Canis lupus familiaris: one gene and its partner. The protein of the gene in region 2 interacts with the protein of the main gene of each other region in a pairwise test. Links are inferred from orthologs where the notes say so. Each region holds a gene or a part of one and is shown on either strand. Other genes may lie near its edges.

Region 1 (7,622 bases), on a different chromosome or scaffold from region 2:
TTCCTATTCTAAGTTGCCAACCCATCCCCACATCTTCCTGGGCATATGCAGGTATGTTGAGAGTATTAATTAGGATCCAACCAGGAAAACAGAAAGTCTTTTATGTATTTGAAAAAGAGAAAGAAGTCAATGCAATATGTACTCTGAATTGAATCCTGGCACAGGGAAAGAACATTAGCGGGGAAAAAATGGATAACATCCAAATACAGTCTGTAGTTTAGTTAATTACTGTATCAATGTTAATTGCTTGGTTTTGACAGATGGGGCCTGGTTATGCAAAATATTGATGTTAGAGAGTCTGGATGAAGGGCATGTGGGAACTCTCTGGGGCTTTGCAACTTCTCTGCAAATCTAGCGTTATTTTAGGGTAAGACGTTTGTTTAAAAAATGTTATGGAGCAAATGAATGTTTTCCAAAAAGAGGAAAAAAAGAAAAAAGATCAGTGGTTGCTGGGAGGGCAGAGAGGTTACAAGGACTCTTTGTGGCAACGGAAATCTTCATGATGATGGTGGTTTCACAGCTGCCGGAGCGCATCGGATTGCACACATTTGTGGATGCGGTTTGTTTTATGAGATCATGCCTAAATAAAGCTGATTAAAAATCACTCATAAAGACTACGCAAAAGGGCAGCCCGGTGGCGCAGCGGTTTGGCGCCCCCTGCAGCCTGGGGTGTGATCCTGGGATCGAGTCCCACATCCGGCTCCCTGCATGGAGCCTGCTTCTCCCTCTACCTGTGTCTCTGCCTCTCTCTTTCTGTGTCTATGAATAAATAAATAAAATCTTTAAAAAAAAAAGACTATGCAAAAAACGGAGCAGGGAGGATTTTGTTCGTGGGAGGCATTACTCCAGGGAATAAGGATTGCAAAGCAAAGCAGGGGACCAGGCCATGATGCTGAGGACAGCTAGTGAGCAAGCCAGAGTTGCAGAGAAAGGAGGCAATGCCACCAGGAATAGATCCCGCAGGGGAGAGGGAGTGGGAAAGAAGGAGGGAAGGAGACAGAGACAGAGACAGAGAGACAAATAGATCCCAGGGGGAACACACACAGAGAAAAAAGATGAGGAAGGTGCAGATTCGCGGGGCTGGCTGGTGTAGGTCATTTTTCAAGAGCAAGCAGTTTTGGCCTCCTGTTTCAAAACACGTATTCTTGACAGCCCTTAGAGATGGGTGAGTAATTTCAGTTCACTCTTACAATAAAATGGAAGCTTCAGATTCTGGCCTAGCAAAGGGAGAGTCTCCCCAGACTCCTCGACCAGGGTGACCTCTGGGCTTTAGCCTTTAGCCTCCAGGATCTGTGAGGCCAGGGAGAGAAGACTTACCTCATCACCGTCAAGGTGAGAGCCAGGTTCAGCCATCCAGCTTGACTCTGGGGAATCCCAACTTCCTTTAATTTCTGACTATTTAGCCTCCCTATAGCTTTCATATCTTTAAGGCACTTGAGAATATTCTTTAAAATATTATATCAAGCAGCTTTAGGTTTTTAAAAATAATTGTTATAATTGAAGATGGAGTGTTGGTCCATATTCTTATCCAATATTTTTTTAAAGTTAATTTATTTTTTATTGGTATTCAATTTACTAACATACAGAATAACCCCCAGTGCCCGTCACCCATTCACCCCCACCCCCCGCCCTCCTCCCCTTCTACCACCCCTAGTTCGTTTCCCAGAGTTAGCAGTCTTTACGTTCTGTCTCCCTTTCTGATATTTCCCACACATTTCTTCCCCCTTCCCTTATATTCCCTTTCACTATTATTTATATTCCCCAAATGAATGAGAACATATAATGTTTGTCCTTCTCCGACTGGCTTACTTCACACAGCATAATATCTTATCCAATATTTTGACAGAAAACCTAGGATTTTACTTATTAAGAATTCCAGGAAGAAGGGCACCTGGGTGGCTTAGTGATTGAGTGTCTTACTTCGGCTCAGGTTGTGATCCCAGGGTCCTGGAATCAAGTCCTGCATCAGACTCCCTGCAGGGAGGCTGCTTCTCCCTCTGCCTAAGTCTCTGCCTTTCTCTCTGTGTCTCTCATAAATAAATAAATAATTTTTTTAAAAAAAGAATTCCAGGGGGATGGGGTCCTTGGGTTGGTTTAGCAATCTACAGATTCTAGACCTCATGTTGTCCTACACCAGTTGTGTCTGCTGTTTTGTTCAAGCTTGTTGCCTCATGGCTGTAAGGTGGTTGCTACTGCTTTATCACATTGTCATGCTACAGTTGCTAGTGAAGAACAGCAGTAAAGGGGCAAAGGTGTCCTGAGACCCTACATTTTTAAGGGAGAAATAGGATTCCCAGTTATTGTGGTATATTCTGCTCTCAGCATCATTGGCCATACTTGGTCATGTGCCCCACTCTGGATCAATTACTGGAAATGGGATTGCCAGATTGCCTTCACCCAAACTTCATTTCCCACCCTGCCAGCCCCAAGCTTAGAGCAGAGCCACTCCAACAGCTCTAGGTTCCTGTTAGGAGGGAACTAGTGAGCAATGACTGCTGTGTCACTACCATCAGTGTGCCCCATGGCCATGCCTGGGAGAAATGGCTCTTCCAGGTTGGCAGAGCGGTGGACACAAGAATCTGTGCCGGGGTTCCTGTCCTTTTGGGCTCTGTGATGCATAAGTGTGCTCCCCACCCCGGTTCTGCTCTTTATTTCAGCAGACTGCTGGGTGTCCCATCTGGTCCCGCGCCTGAGGTCTGTGTCCTGGCCATTCCACCCCTTGAGGGTTTTGCATATACTCGTGGGCACCCTACATTTCCCTGGTTCCAATGTCACTGGGGGAAGATGGGAAGGGAACGTAGTGTTAGCATAACATTTTTAAAGTTCTCAACATGTGACTGAGAATTTAACGAATATTATGATAGTCAATGCTGGGAGGAAGATTCTAGGCTTCCCATTTCAAATATGAGGAAATGTTGGTGTAAAGTGGCATAATGTCTTGCCCAAGAACAGATGGTCTTTTTTTGGAGCTGGGACAGATATTCAAGTCACTTTCTTGTACACAGCCATGTCCTGCCTGGTCCCTGAGGTTGAAAATTAGGTTTTCCCCTCAGGGGTTCATCTGGGGGTGAGTTCAGCCTCATCCAAGCATGAAGGAAGAGGCATCTTTTGGAGGCCAAAACCCTCGCTCTGTCTCATAGTGGGACAAGTGGGAAGGACAGGGGAACATGCTTCCTCTTTGTGGGGGACTGCTGATGTAGAAACTCCATAACATGCCTCAGCTGACACATCCTGTCCCCGTGTCGGCTGCAGGCTCTATCCTACCCAGTGGCTCCAGGACGGTGCAGGCTGCAGGGATCTCGGCATGTTTCCCCATGTGACCACCTTCCTGGCCCTCAGTGAGTCCTGAAATGGAAATAAAGGGTTAGGGGGACAGCGTGAGTGGGCAGAAGATTTGGGGAGGGGGCCTGCTTCCCTTCCCAGTCCTGCCCCCAGTCCAGAAGACTCCAGGATCCTGGGGGAGTGAAGTAGGTCAACACCCTACCTCCTGCCCCAGACAACCTAGGTCAGACCATGTGGGTTCAGTTCTAGAACAGAGATTAATTCAGACTCCAGAGGGGCTGGGGGAGAGAAGCACCTATTTGGAAGAGGGGGCCGGGGGCTTGTCTTGAGACTATTTCAGAGCAAGAAGATGGACTGGGGTGGCCCCTGATGGAACTGGGAGTGGTCTCTCTCTCACCAGATCCTCTCTTTCAGCGCTCTGCCTGGGTGGAGGGCTCCACGCACAGCAGGGTGAGTCTCCTCCTCATCCTCTTTGCATCCCAAAGGCAGCTCTGGACAGGATGGTGCTGACCCTGGGAGGGCCTGGGAGGAGGCCCTGAAATTTGCCCCAAATTGCAAACAATCGCCAATGTATGACCCTTGCAAACTCTCTCCCTATTCCCCACCTGTGCTTCCGACAGCCACCCCCCTAAACAATTAGAACTGTGCAGGACCAGGCTGAGCCCAGGGCTCTCCCACACAAGCCCAGACCCCCCTCTCAGCATCCCCTTGGCAGAGAGCAGAGTCGTCAAGTGCCAAGTCCCAGACACCATCCTTGATCCCAACTTCATCCTCGATACAAAACACATCACCAGTGACTTGATTTTTCAAGGATAATTTTAAAATTTCACTCACATTTTTGGAATTTATTTTTCATATTTTTTTCTATTTGGGGCAAAATATTAGATTTTTAGAGTCCTTTCATCATCTCTGCTCAGATCAAATAAGACCCACGAACTGCTCTTTGGTCTAGATCTGTCCATCCTCACACTGTCCAGCTCACTTACCTCCAGATACCTCATCTTTCTTTCTCAAAAAACACCATTTCCCCTTCAACTCTGGACCTCCTCACACACTGATTTTTTTTAGGTCAAATGCCCTGGCTGCTGCTCTCTACTCAGTGTGCGTGCTTCACACTGGACACTCTGCTCTTAGCTCAGATGCCTCGTCCTTCCAACCTCCCCAAGAGGACCCCTCAATTCCCGTACTCACCCCCAGGGCATGCATCACAGTCTGCATCTGTGGACTCAGACAAGTATTTGATGAGTGTCTGTCCTCCCTCAATACTCTCAGCCCCGAGAAGGCAGGGATCATGAGTGTGTTTCTCATGTTTGTAGAACCAGTGGCACATGGAGAGCATCTGTACATGGATACATAGATGCTAAAATACAGTAGAAGGAAGGAAGGAAGGAAGGAAGGAAGGAAGGAAGGAAGGAAGGAAGGAAGGAAGGAAGGAAGGAGAAAGAAAGAAGAAAGAAGAAAAGAAAGAAAGAAAGAAAGAAAGAAAGAAAGAAAGAAAGAAAGAGAGTAGGCAGACAAATGAGCAAAGAATCTCTCTCAGCTCCTGCCTCCTGAGGGATTTTTTTTATTTCTTTTTATTGGAGTTCAATTTGCCAACATATAGCATAACACCTGAGGGATTTTGTAACTTTGATGCTGCCTTCCTGTTTTCAGGACTACAAAACCCCTCTTCCTCCACCGCCAGCCTAGCTGAGGCAGACGGGGGTTTTTAGGAGCGTTACAAACAAGGAAGTAGAAATAAGGCTGATCTATTTTTAACTGTTTGAGGAACCTCCACACAGTTTTCCAGAGTGGCTGCACCAGTTCACATTCCCACCAACAGTGTATGAGGGTTCCCTTTACTCCGCATCCTCTCCAACATTTGTTGTTTCCTGCCTTGTTAATTTTCCCCATTCTCACTGGTGTGAGGTGGTATCTCATTGTGGTTTTGATTTGTATTTCCCTGATGGCAAGTGATGCAGATGCTTCAACGTGGATGGAACTGGAGGGTATTATGCTGAGTGAAGTAAGTCAGTCGGAGAAGGACAAACATTATATGTTCTCATTCATTTGGGGAATATAAATAATAGTGAAAGGGAAAATAAGGGAAGGGAGAAGAAATGTGTGGGAAATATCAGAAAGGGAGACAGAACGTAAAGACTGCTAACTCTGGGAAACGAACTAGGGGTGGTGGAAGGGGAGGAGGGCGGGGGGTGGGAGTGAATGGGTGACGGGCACTGGGTGTTATTCTGTATGTTAGTAAATTGAACACCAATAAAAAAAAATAAAAAAAATAAAAAAAAAAAGAAATAAGGCTGAAATGAAAGTAGAAAAGACAGAGCAAACCCAGAGATGGGTGCTCCACAGAAGACTTGCATTGCAGACAGGAATCCTCATCCACTGAGGTCTGTGGGACCAGGTGAACTGGTGTCCCAGCACACCCCGCACTGGACTTCAGCTGGTGCTTCGCAGATTGCGCCCCCTAGCTGAGGCTAGCCCGTCCGGAGCCATTCCTACAACTCCAGACTCCTGCTTACCTTGTTCCCACAAATGGCCTGTCATCTTCATCCACTGTTTCTGTCCCAGCCCACCCCACCCCCCATCAGCCCCAGAAAGTGGCCACGGGTAGGAGCCGTCTGTATGTATGACCTCCCTCCCACCTCCCAGGACAGGACAGGCTGTCTCCTCAGAACGGACCCCAAGAACCTGCTCTGCTTCCCTCCTAGGGGTCCTGCCCAGCCCCTCCATCTGGGCCCAGCCGAGCTCTGAGATTCCCCGGGGGCAGCCGGTGACCATCGTGTGCCAGGGCCCTGCTGGGGCTGAGACATTCCGCCTGGAGAAGGAGGGAAGTGCTCTACATAAAGATGTGAGGAACCCACAACATGAGACGCAGGCCAGATTCCCCATCCCTGCGGTGGGTGAAGACACTGCCCGGCGCTATCGCTGCCTCTATAATAAAGACGGCACCTGGTCTGACCGCAGCAAGGAACTGCAGCTGGTGGTGACAGGTGAGGACATCTCACCTCTGCCCTCAGATTTCTCTGGGCCTGAGTGATGGCCGGATGTGGCCTTCGGATGGGTGCTCAGGGTACAGAGAGGCCAGGAGTGGGATAGACCCTGGGGGTGTCCACCTAGCATCGGTCCTTCTGCCCTGGTCACAGAGGACCCCCCACAACACACACACACATCTATTCTTCAGCTGGTGAGTAACAATGCTTGGGGACATTGCTGGGGGGGTGCTCTATGCTGGCAATCGGGCTGCAGGCCCAGCCTCCACCCCCCTAGGCTTGGGTTAGGGACTGGTGAGACCACAGTGAGGGGCTGCCACCTGCAGGGCACCACTAACTGGTTGAACTACTTGTGCCAAGTGCTGTGAAAGCAGTCAATGCTAGTAGCACAGGATGTGGGAGGCACTCTCCGACCTCTGAGAGCTCCCCCCCAACTCCTCTAATGTGCAAAGCCTTGCAGGTTTCATGCCCAAAGGCACAAAGCTCTGAAGGGGTGGAACCAGCCCAAGGGGGGGAGGGGCAGACCTCAGGTGGTGGCCACCCCCTTGTGGGCAGGGTCCTACTCTTGGCAGCTCTGCAAGGAACCTGGGTCTAGAGGCACAGAGAAACTAACAGCTCATCTTCCAAACTCAGACTCTGCGGGAGAGACCAGGGCTCTTGATGGTTATGTCCCCACAGTGGCATTAGGTCAGGTAGAGGAAGAGAGAGCCCCTCTAGGAGAACCCTGAACCCGATGGGTGGGGGGTGCACAGCCTCACCTGCTGCCCCATCTATTGCTGTGCAGACTGAAGGTCGGAGCAGAAGCTCCACAGCTCCTGCAGGGATTGAGATTCCAGCCCTGCCTTGGGACTCTATATCCGGTGGTGAATCACCAAAATCACACCTGGCCCAATTTCCTTATGCGCCAAAGGGGCAGTAAGTGTACTGACCCTGGAGCCCTGTTTCAGGGATATAGGGGTTGGTTTACGCAGGGCATGGCACTCAGGTCTGCTGAATGGGATAGCATGAAGACGTGCTGGTCTTACTAACGTGAAGGAATGGTTTTCTTCTTTTTTAAGATTTTTAATTTATTTATTCAGAGAGAGAGAGAGAGGCAGAGACACAGGCAGAGGGAGAAGCAGGCTCCATGCAGGGAGCCCGATGTGGGACTTGATCTCGGTCTCTAGGATCACACCCTGGGCTGCAGGTGGTGCTAAACCGCTGCGCCACCGGGGCTGCCCAGGGTTTTCTTCTCACTTCCTTGTAGGCACCAGACACCCACCTGCTGAACGCTGGATCTATTTGGGGAAATAAGGGAAAGGGTCCTTGTGGTCCGAAATTTTAATGGGAAAATTAACTAGAATGAGGGATCCC
Region 2 (7,612 bases):
GTGAAGAAGACAGACACAGTCCTTGCTCTCACTCTTCATTCAAGTGGGAGGCAATAGACACCACAAAGAATCCAATAAATAGGACTAATTTTAGATTTTCAGAAGTGTTATGTGGAAAACGAAGGTGGCTTCTTTGTGTGCTTGCAAATGATTGGGAGCGCCAATGGCATCATTAACTGGAGGGATCCAGGAGGGCTTTCCTGTGGAGATGGCAGGTACACCGAGAGCTGGATGATGATTAAGAGCCAGCCAGGTGGTGACCAAGAGTCAAACGCCTGGGAGGCACAGGCCCTGCTGTGGGAACAAAGGAAGGGGTGCACAGAGCAAAGCAGTGGAGAGGGAGACATGGACCCGCAGTGTCATGTGTGGCCAGGATGGTGTGTCCATGTGTGGGTATTTGCACTGGGCCAGGTACGTGTGTAGATGGACACAGATGGTGAGGTGCATGCACAGAGTGGGACTGTGTGTGCATGTGTATGTTTGTATGTCATCTGTGTATGACAAGCAGGGTGTGTACGTGTAGGACTGAGAGCTGAACATGCCTGTGCATGGCTATTGGTGAGCTTGTTTATTGGACACGTACTCTGCATGAGGCACTATGCTAGCCTTTGAACTTCCGAAGGTGAGCATGACTGACTGTGGACCCCCGCACCCCCTGCAGTGGAGCCCACTCTGCAGATCCTCTTTATGCCTCTAGCTCAGGGAAGGGATATGTGGGCTTTCGGTGGGGCTCAAAGTCCAAGACTGAAAGGGTAGTCAGTATTAGGTCATAAAATAAACAGAACAAATTTCCCAGGTATCAGAAAGGAGGGGGGAAAGGGGGAAAGCCCATTTTTTGGGGGAGAAATTGATGTTTGAAAAAGTGATAAAGTAGTCATTGTAGGAAACCAAGACTTTAACTGAGCTTTGGCACTTTGTTTATTTTTCTTACTTTTTATTGAGGTATAGCATAGTTTTCATGAATGTTAAGCAAACGGCCTGATGAACATCATGTTAAATACACCAGCCAGATTAAGATGCAGAGTGTTCCCAGCACCCCAGTGGTTTCCTAGAAATTGCCATCTCCCAGTCAACTTATTTATTTTTATAAAGGTAATACATATCCATGCTATAACATTCAAAAAAAAAATGTAGGCGAAGAAAACATCCAGATCACCAACAGACACATGCTCAACATCGCTCATCATCAGGGAATGCAAGTCAAACCCACAATGAGATACCATCTTATATTCGTCAGAATGGCTAGAGTCAGAAAGACAAGAAATAACAAATGTTGGTGAGGATGTGAAAAAAGGGACCCTTGTGCACTGCTGGGCGGGGGGGAGGTCAATTGGCCCAGCCACTGTGGAAAACAGTATGGAGGTTCCTCAGATAATTAAAAATAGAAAAACCATTTGATCCAGTAATTCCACTACTGGGTAATTACCCACATAAAACAAAAACACTAATTTGAAAATTAGTGAAAATTTGCCACTACGTTCACTGTGGCATTATTTACAGTAGCCAAGGTAAGGAAACAATCCAAGTGTCTAGCGACAGATGAATGGATAAAGAAGATATAATACATACATACGATGGAATATTACTTGGCCATAGAATGAATAAGATCTTGACATTTGTGACAACATGGATGGATCTAGAGGGTACTAGTGAAATAAGTCAGGGAAAGACAAGAACATATGATTTCACTTATACGTAGAATCTAAAACACAAAACAAATGAACAAACCAAAAGCAGAAACATCCATAAACACAGATAATAAACTGATGGTTGCCAGAGGGAAGGGGGAGGGGAGAGGGACAAAATGGGTGAAAGGGGAGTGGGAGGTCCAGGCTTCCAGTTACAGAGTGAAAAACCATGGGGATGAAAGGCACAGCATAGGGAATATAGTCAGTGGTATTGTAATAATGTTGGATGGTGACAGGTGGTTGCTCTGCCTGTGGTGAGCGGAGCGTACTACATAGTCTTGTTGAATCACTATGTCGTACACCTGAAACTAACAACATTGTGTGTCAACTACACGTCAATTAAAAAAATAAAACCGGCATAAGGGAGATGTAAATATCCCTCTCAGCCCTCTCCCCCAGGCTCCCTCCCTGGGGGAAGCCACCAATCTGAGTTTTCTGTGTTTCCTTTGTTGGATTGCTTTCCTCTTGTTTTGGTTTGGTAGCATTTGTGTGTTTTTTTTTTTTAATTTTTATTTATTTATGATAGTCACAGAGAGAGAGAGAGGCAGAGACACAGGCAGAGGGAGAAGCAGGCTCCATGCACCGGGAGCCCGATGTGGGACTTGATCCCGGGTCTCCAGGATTGCGCCCTGGGCCAAAGGCAGGGGCCAAACCGCTGCGCCACCCAGGGATCCCAGTGTTTGTATGTGGAATTACACATGGGGATCATCATGAGCTCCTGGGGTGTAGGGCCTCTCAATGTCAACCAGCCCTGAGAATATCAATCATGGCAGGGACCTCGGTCCCCAGCCCACAGGAGACAGGCCCCTAGTCACAGTCCTGAGCTCTGAGCCGATTCAGACCAGACCCCTTGACAAGAATCTATGGCTCAGGCATAGGGTGGACATACCCAAGGGGGCTACCCCCACCTGCATTCCTAGATCTGCTGCCCCTTGCATTCTGTTCCTTGGCTCCACTACCTGGTTAGGGCACAGTGGGGCAAAGACTTGGGATAAGAAGTAGAAAAGGTGTAAGTCTGACAGCTGTGCAGGAGTCATTCTGTCCATCCCTCTGTCCCGGTGGTGCCTCTTCAGATGTGTGTGCCAGAGGAGGTGAGGGTGCCTTTCCCTTTGCAAGCATCTGCTTGGCCTTGGCTATTATTTCTAATAAAGTATCCCCTTCCCTGCAGCCCCCAGTGGACAAGAGGTCCCCACCTCTGTCCTTTGAGTCCCCAGGGGCTGGCATACAGCTGCTAAAATCCCTGGCTTGGGAACCACAGTGTGAGGTCACATCCCAGCACCACCCCTTACCGACTGGCTGACCTCAGGCAAGTTCCCTACATTCTGTGAGCCTCAGATTCCTCCTCTGTAAAATGGGGGAAAAAACAGCATGTGCTTTGTGGGGCTATTAGGAAGAATAAACCAGATGAGGTACATAAATGACATGCTAGCATGGTGCCTGGCCTACAGTGAGACTCTGTGGAACGAGAGTTGTCACCGTCACCATTATCACGAGCTTGGACAGGGGAGGGGAAGGGTGTGTGGAAGCAGCCTGTGGAGGAAGATGAGATGGCCTGTGACTGCAGGGGTTCATGCTTATGAAGCGTGGCCTCCACACATCAGGTGCCAGGCATAGCTGTGTCCCTATGTTGTGTGTCGTCACGTTTGCAGAGTGCCATGCTCCTGGAGCCTTTGATGGCAGCCGTGTGGGAAGTGGGCCCCATCCCCACCCCCACTGCCACCCCGCTTGGCTTCTCTTCGCTCTGCCCTAAAACGAGAAGTACAGTGAGTTCCCCCAAGGGGTCGGCCGCGCCCCTTCCTGTCCCCGCCCTGCTGCCGGCTGGCCCTGGGGCCAGTGGAGTGGCAGCCCCAGAACCCACGGCCAGGGCTGACAGGCAGCCTGGGCGCTCGAGCAGAGCCGTGTGGAGGCCTTAGGCCCAGAGCTCTCTGCCCGCCCGGACTCGCCAGTGCACCTCGTTCCCTGCACCCCTTTCCTCTCAGGGAGCCCCCAGGATGGTGAGGTAAGGTCCTGGGGCCTGCGGGATGCAGGAGGCAAGGGGGCCCTGCGGATGGAAGGAAGGACCTCTCCTCATTGCTCTGCGGGCCTCCAGGTGGTTTCACCGAGACCTCAGCGGGTTGGATGCAGAGACCCTGCTCAAGGGCCGCGGTGTCCATGGAAGCTTCTTGGCCCGGCCCAGTCGCAAGAACCAGGGTGACTTCTCCCTCTCCGTCAGGTAGGTGGCCCCCAACTCCGGCCAGGGCAAGTGGCTCCCTTCTGGTTCCCTTGTGGCAGTGCCGACTCCCCAGGCCCCGGCACCCAATGTGTCCCCCCCGCCCCCTGTGTGTGCCTGGGACTCTGGACCTCAGCCCATCCCCCCTCTGTCCCCATCTCTCCTCTTGCACCCACTGGTCTCACCACCCGGTGCCCTGCAGGGTGGGGGATCAGGTGACCCACATTCGGATCCAGAACTCAGGAGATTTCTATGACCTGTATGGAGGGGAAAAGTTTGCGACGCTGACAGAGCTAGTGGAGTACTACACGCAGCAGCAAGGCGTCCTGCAGGATCGAGATGGCACCATCATCCACCTCAAGTACCCGCTGAACTGCTCCGACCCCACCAGTGAGAGGTGAGGGGCTTCCTGGCCCACTCCCACGTGGAGGCGGGCTGACTTCCACCCTGTCCTGCCCAGGGCTCTGTGGGCCTCTTTCTTCTGTGTGATCCCAGGCTCATGCCTCAGGGGACATCACCTTCCCCTTTTCCAGGGTCTCCACCAGCTGGCAACCCAGGCCCTCCTAGTGATGGAGAGGCCTAGTGGCTACATTTGGTAGTAGGCCAGCTCTGTTGTTAGAAAGCTCTCCTTCCTTCTGTGGAAACAAATCTGCCTTGCCATACTATTCTTTCCTCCAGGACAGGTTAATACATGGAGAGATTGATGTTGAGGAGGAACATAGGGACTTATATTTATGAGGACATTTAATGCTTTATCTCAGTAACACAGTGATGACGGGTCTCCTTTTGGGGACTTGGGAGAGCTTGACCAGTCCCTTGCCTGGAACACAGATCGGTGGATAACTATGATATGGTCGTGTGTGCAAGGGGCCTAGTATCTGGGCACAGGGTAGTACTCAAGGCATTGCCCTCCTGTCCCCTTTGGCTCCAAAGATGTGGTCTCCAGGACCGGGCAGGCTGCCCCTCACATGGTCTCCCTAAAGCATGGGTGGGGGTTGGGAGCCTGAACACTCAGCGTTACACTGGGGGCTTATTTCAGCAGCTGTATCCCAGTGACAGCTCCATTAAGGTGAATGGCAGACGAATAATTCTAGTAGCTTTTTTTTTTTTTTTTTTTTTTTACGTTCTGGGGCCAAGGCAGCTTGCTCTTGTCCTGTATTTGTGCATTGACTGTTGACCTAATGATGGACCTTGATTCCATCAGTTTTCACTCTTTCTAAGATGCATGCCTCTTAACTTGCCCAGTATTTTTGTTCAAGTCACTGATGGCAAGTTTGAGATGCGTGAGGATGAGGCCTAGGTGAGGGCCTCGTGGCCCACTGCTGGACACCATTCTCCAGCCAACATGAAGCCATCAATCCGTTTCCTTTGAAGCCACCTCTTGGAGGAGTAAAGCCCAAGCTTGGATGACTGCTCATGGTGGCCCTCCTTGGTCCTTTCTTGGTATCCACACCCTTTTGCCCTCTTCCTCCATCCTGCTGACAGCATTCATGGGGGTTTGCCACTCAGACCCTCTTGAACTCTTGGGGTCCTCTCTTCCTCTTTGGCCTAAACCAGCCTCTGCCCTGCTAGATGGTGGGCTGGTGGAGCCCCTAGAGGAGCAGGAGGTTGTGGATGGAGCCAGAAGAAGGAAGGAGAAGCTCTCCTTGGGAGAGCCTGAGGCCTGGAGTAGCAGGAGGAGGACAGAGCTGGGGGCTGGCAGGGAGGGAAGAATAGAGGGTATTGAGGCCAGGGAAGCTGACTCTCAGAAGCCTTTTTGGTCCCTCACATCAGGACACCTGGCTAACCCCTGACCTTGGGATTGTGTATGGGAGGCTCTTTCTCCATCCCTCTCTTGTGTTCCTGGCTCTGGAGGCTGCCCCTCCTCCTCTGAGGGAATTTGCATTTGTCCCGCCAATGGCTAGCACTCTGCCTGTGGTCAGCCTGATATTTGCATGGAAACTTCCTCATCCTGGGCCAGGGGGACGAGGGTCAGCCCCCACCCCATTGCCAGAGTGGGCGTGTGTGTGTGGGGTGTGCCCTGGTCTATCCCTGAATGGTGGGGTGGGGTGGCCTCCCAGGTACTGCTCCTGGACAGGGCAGGAGTGTGTCTGGGCAGGACCCATGTGCTCCTCCATCCTCCCCCCCATCCCTGCGGTTGGAAAATGCCCCCTCCCCTGGTCCCTGGGCTGAGGAAACCTCACACCCTCACTTCTCACTCTCTCCCCAGAAGGAGTTTTGTGTTTTTTCCATCACGTGGTTTCCTGTGGGGCTGGGCATTGTGGGGCTACGGTTTCCTCCTGGGAAGGGGGTGTGCTTCGGGGAAAGGTCCTAGTTCTGCTTTCTGCCCTTTCTGAGCCCCTCTGAGCCCCAGTCTCCCCTCCAGTGATGTTATCCTGAGCCCCCCAGAGCCCCCCAAACCACCGCTTCCCCCGCAGGGTTGTCTGTCTTCCCTGTTATTGAGGGGTTGGTGGCCCCATGAATCCCTTGTGACCCCCATCTCCACTGCCCTTGCTGTTTGGCCTCTTTGTTTCTCTTGGTCTCCCTCCTCTTTCCCTAATCAGTCCTGGCTTTCCTGGGACCCTTCCTCAGTTTTTCCCCTCCAGTTGTTCTGCATATGGCCTGCCTTTCTGTCTCTGGCTTAACACTCTCAGAGGCAGGTCTGGTTAGAACTCCCGAAGCTTCCTTAGCAGGCCAGGGCCTTGGGCCAGTGTACGATCGCTCAGCTTCAGGTTCCTCGTCTGTAAAATGAAATGGTCCCTACCTCTCAGCATTTTTGTGAGAGCAATGGACCTAAATATGGTGGTGGCTTTGAGGGGTGCCTGGCTGGCTCAGTTGGAGGCGCGTGCAACTCTTGATTTCGGACTTTAAGTTTGAACCCCACGATGGGTGTAGAGATGACTTTAAAAAAATCGTTAAGCCACTTGCGTGGCTCAGTTGGTTAAGTGTCTGCCTTTGGCTCAGGTCATGATCTCAGGGTCCTGGGATCGAGTTCTGCATTGGGCTCCCTGCTCAGCTGGGAATCTGCTTCTTCCTCTTCCTCTCCCTCTGTCCCCCTGACTCGTGCTCTCACACATTCTCTCTCTCTCTCTCTCAAATAAATAAAATCTTTAAAAAAAAGTCTTGGGGTGCCTGGATGGCTTAGTCGGTTAAGTATTTGCCTTTGGCTTCGGTCGTGATCCCAGGGTCCTGGGATGGAGCCCCACGTCGGGCTCCTTGCTCCGAGAAGACTCTGCCTCTCCCTCTCCTTCTGCCTCTCCCCACCCACCTCTCATGCTCTCTCACTCACTGTTGCTCACTCTTTCTCTGAAATTTTTTATTTTATTTTGTTTTATTTTATTTTATTTTATTTTATTTTATTTTATTTTATTTTATTTTATTTTATTTTATTTTATTTTATTTTATGAGAGACACAGAGAGAGAGAGAGAGCTGCAGAGACACAGGCAGAGGGAGAAGCAGGCTCCATGCAGGGAGCCCGACGTGGGACTCGATCCCAGGACCCTGGGGTCACACCCTGGGCTGAAGGCGGCGTTAAACCGCTGAGCCACCCAGGCTGCCCTCTCTCTGAAATTAAAAAAAAAAAAATCTTTAAGATTTTTAAAAAAAAGTCTTAAAAATATATGGTGGATTTGAAAGCATCTAACATGGTGCGTGGCACGTCACAGTCACTCGATTTCCCTGTCCCCCTCTATGAATGTCTCTGCTTGGTGCTGGCCCCTTGGCTCAAGTATCACC

Evidence for each region.
Region 1: the proteins of PTPN6 (region 2) and LAIR1 interact in binary tests that used the Homo sapiens proteins (3 or more experiments, as listed by UniProt). The link is inferred for Canis lupus familiaris from reciprocal best matches to the Homo sapiens genes PTPN6 and LAIR1.

Annotation. Positions count from the first base shown.
Region 1 is NC_049222.1:103,669,222-103,676,843, forward strand, and holds the start of LAIR1 (leukocyte-associated immunoglobulin-like receptor 1), read left to right. Parts: upstream 1-3,185; 5' UTR 3,186-3,304; coding exon 3,305-3,338; intron 3,339-3,696; coding exon 3,697-3,732; intron 3,733-5,987; coding exon 5,988-6,269; intron 6,270-7,622. UniProt on the Homo sapiens protein: Functions as an inhibitory receptor that plays a constitutive negative regulatory role on cytolytic function of natural killer (NK) cells, B-cells and T-cells.
Region 2 is NC_049248.1:7,994,967-8,002,578, forward strand, and holds the start of PTPN6 (tyrosine-protein phosphatase non-receptor type 6), read left to right. Parts: upstream 1-3,498; 5' UTR 3,499-3,679; coding exon 3,680-3,687; intron 3,688-3,777; coding exon 3,778-3,900; intron 3,901-4,099; coding exon 4,100-4,294; intron 4,295-7,612. UniProt on the Homo sapiens protein: Tyrosine phosphatase enzyme that plays important roles in controlling immune signaling pathways and fundamental physiological processes such as hematopoiesis.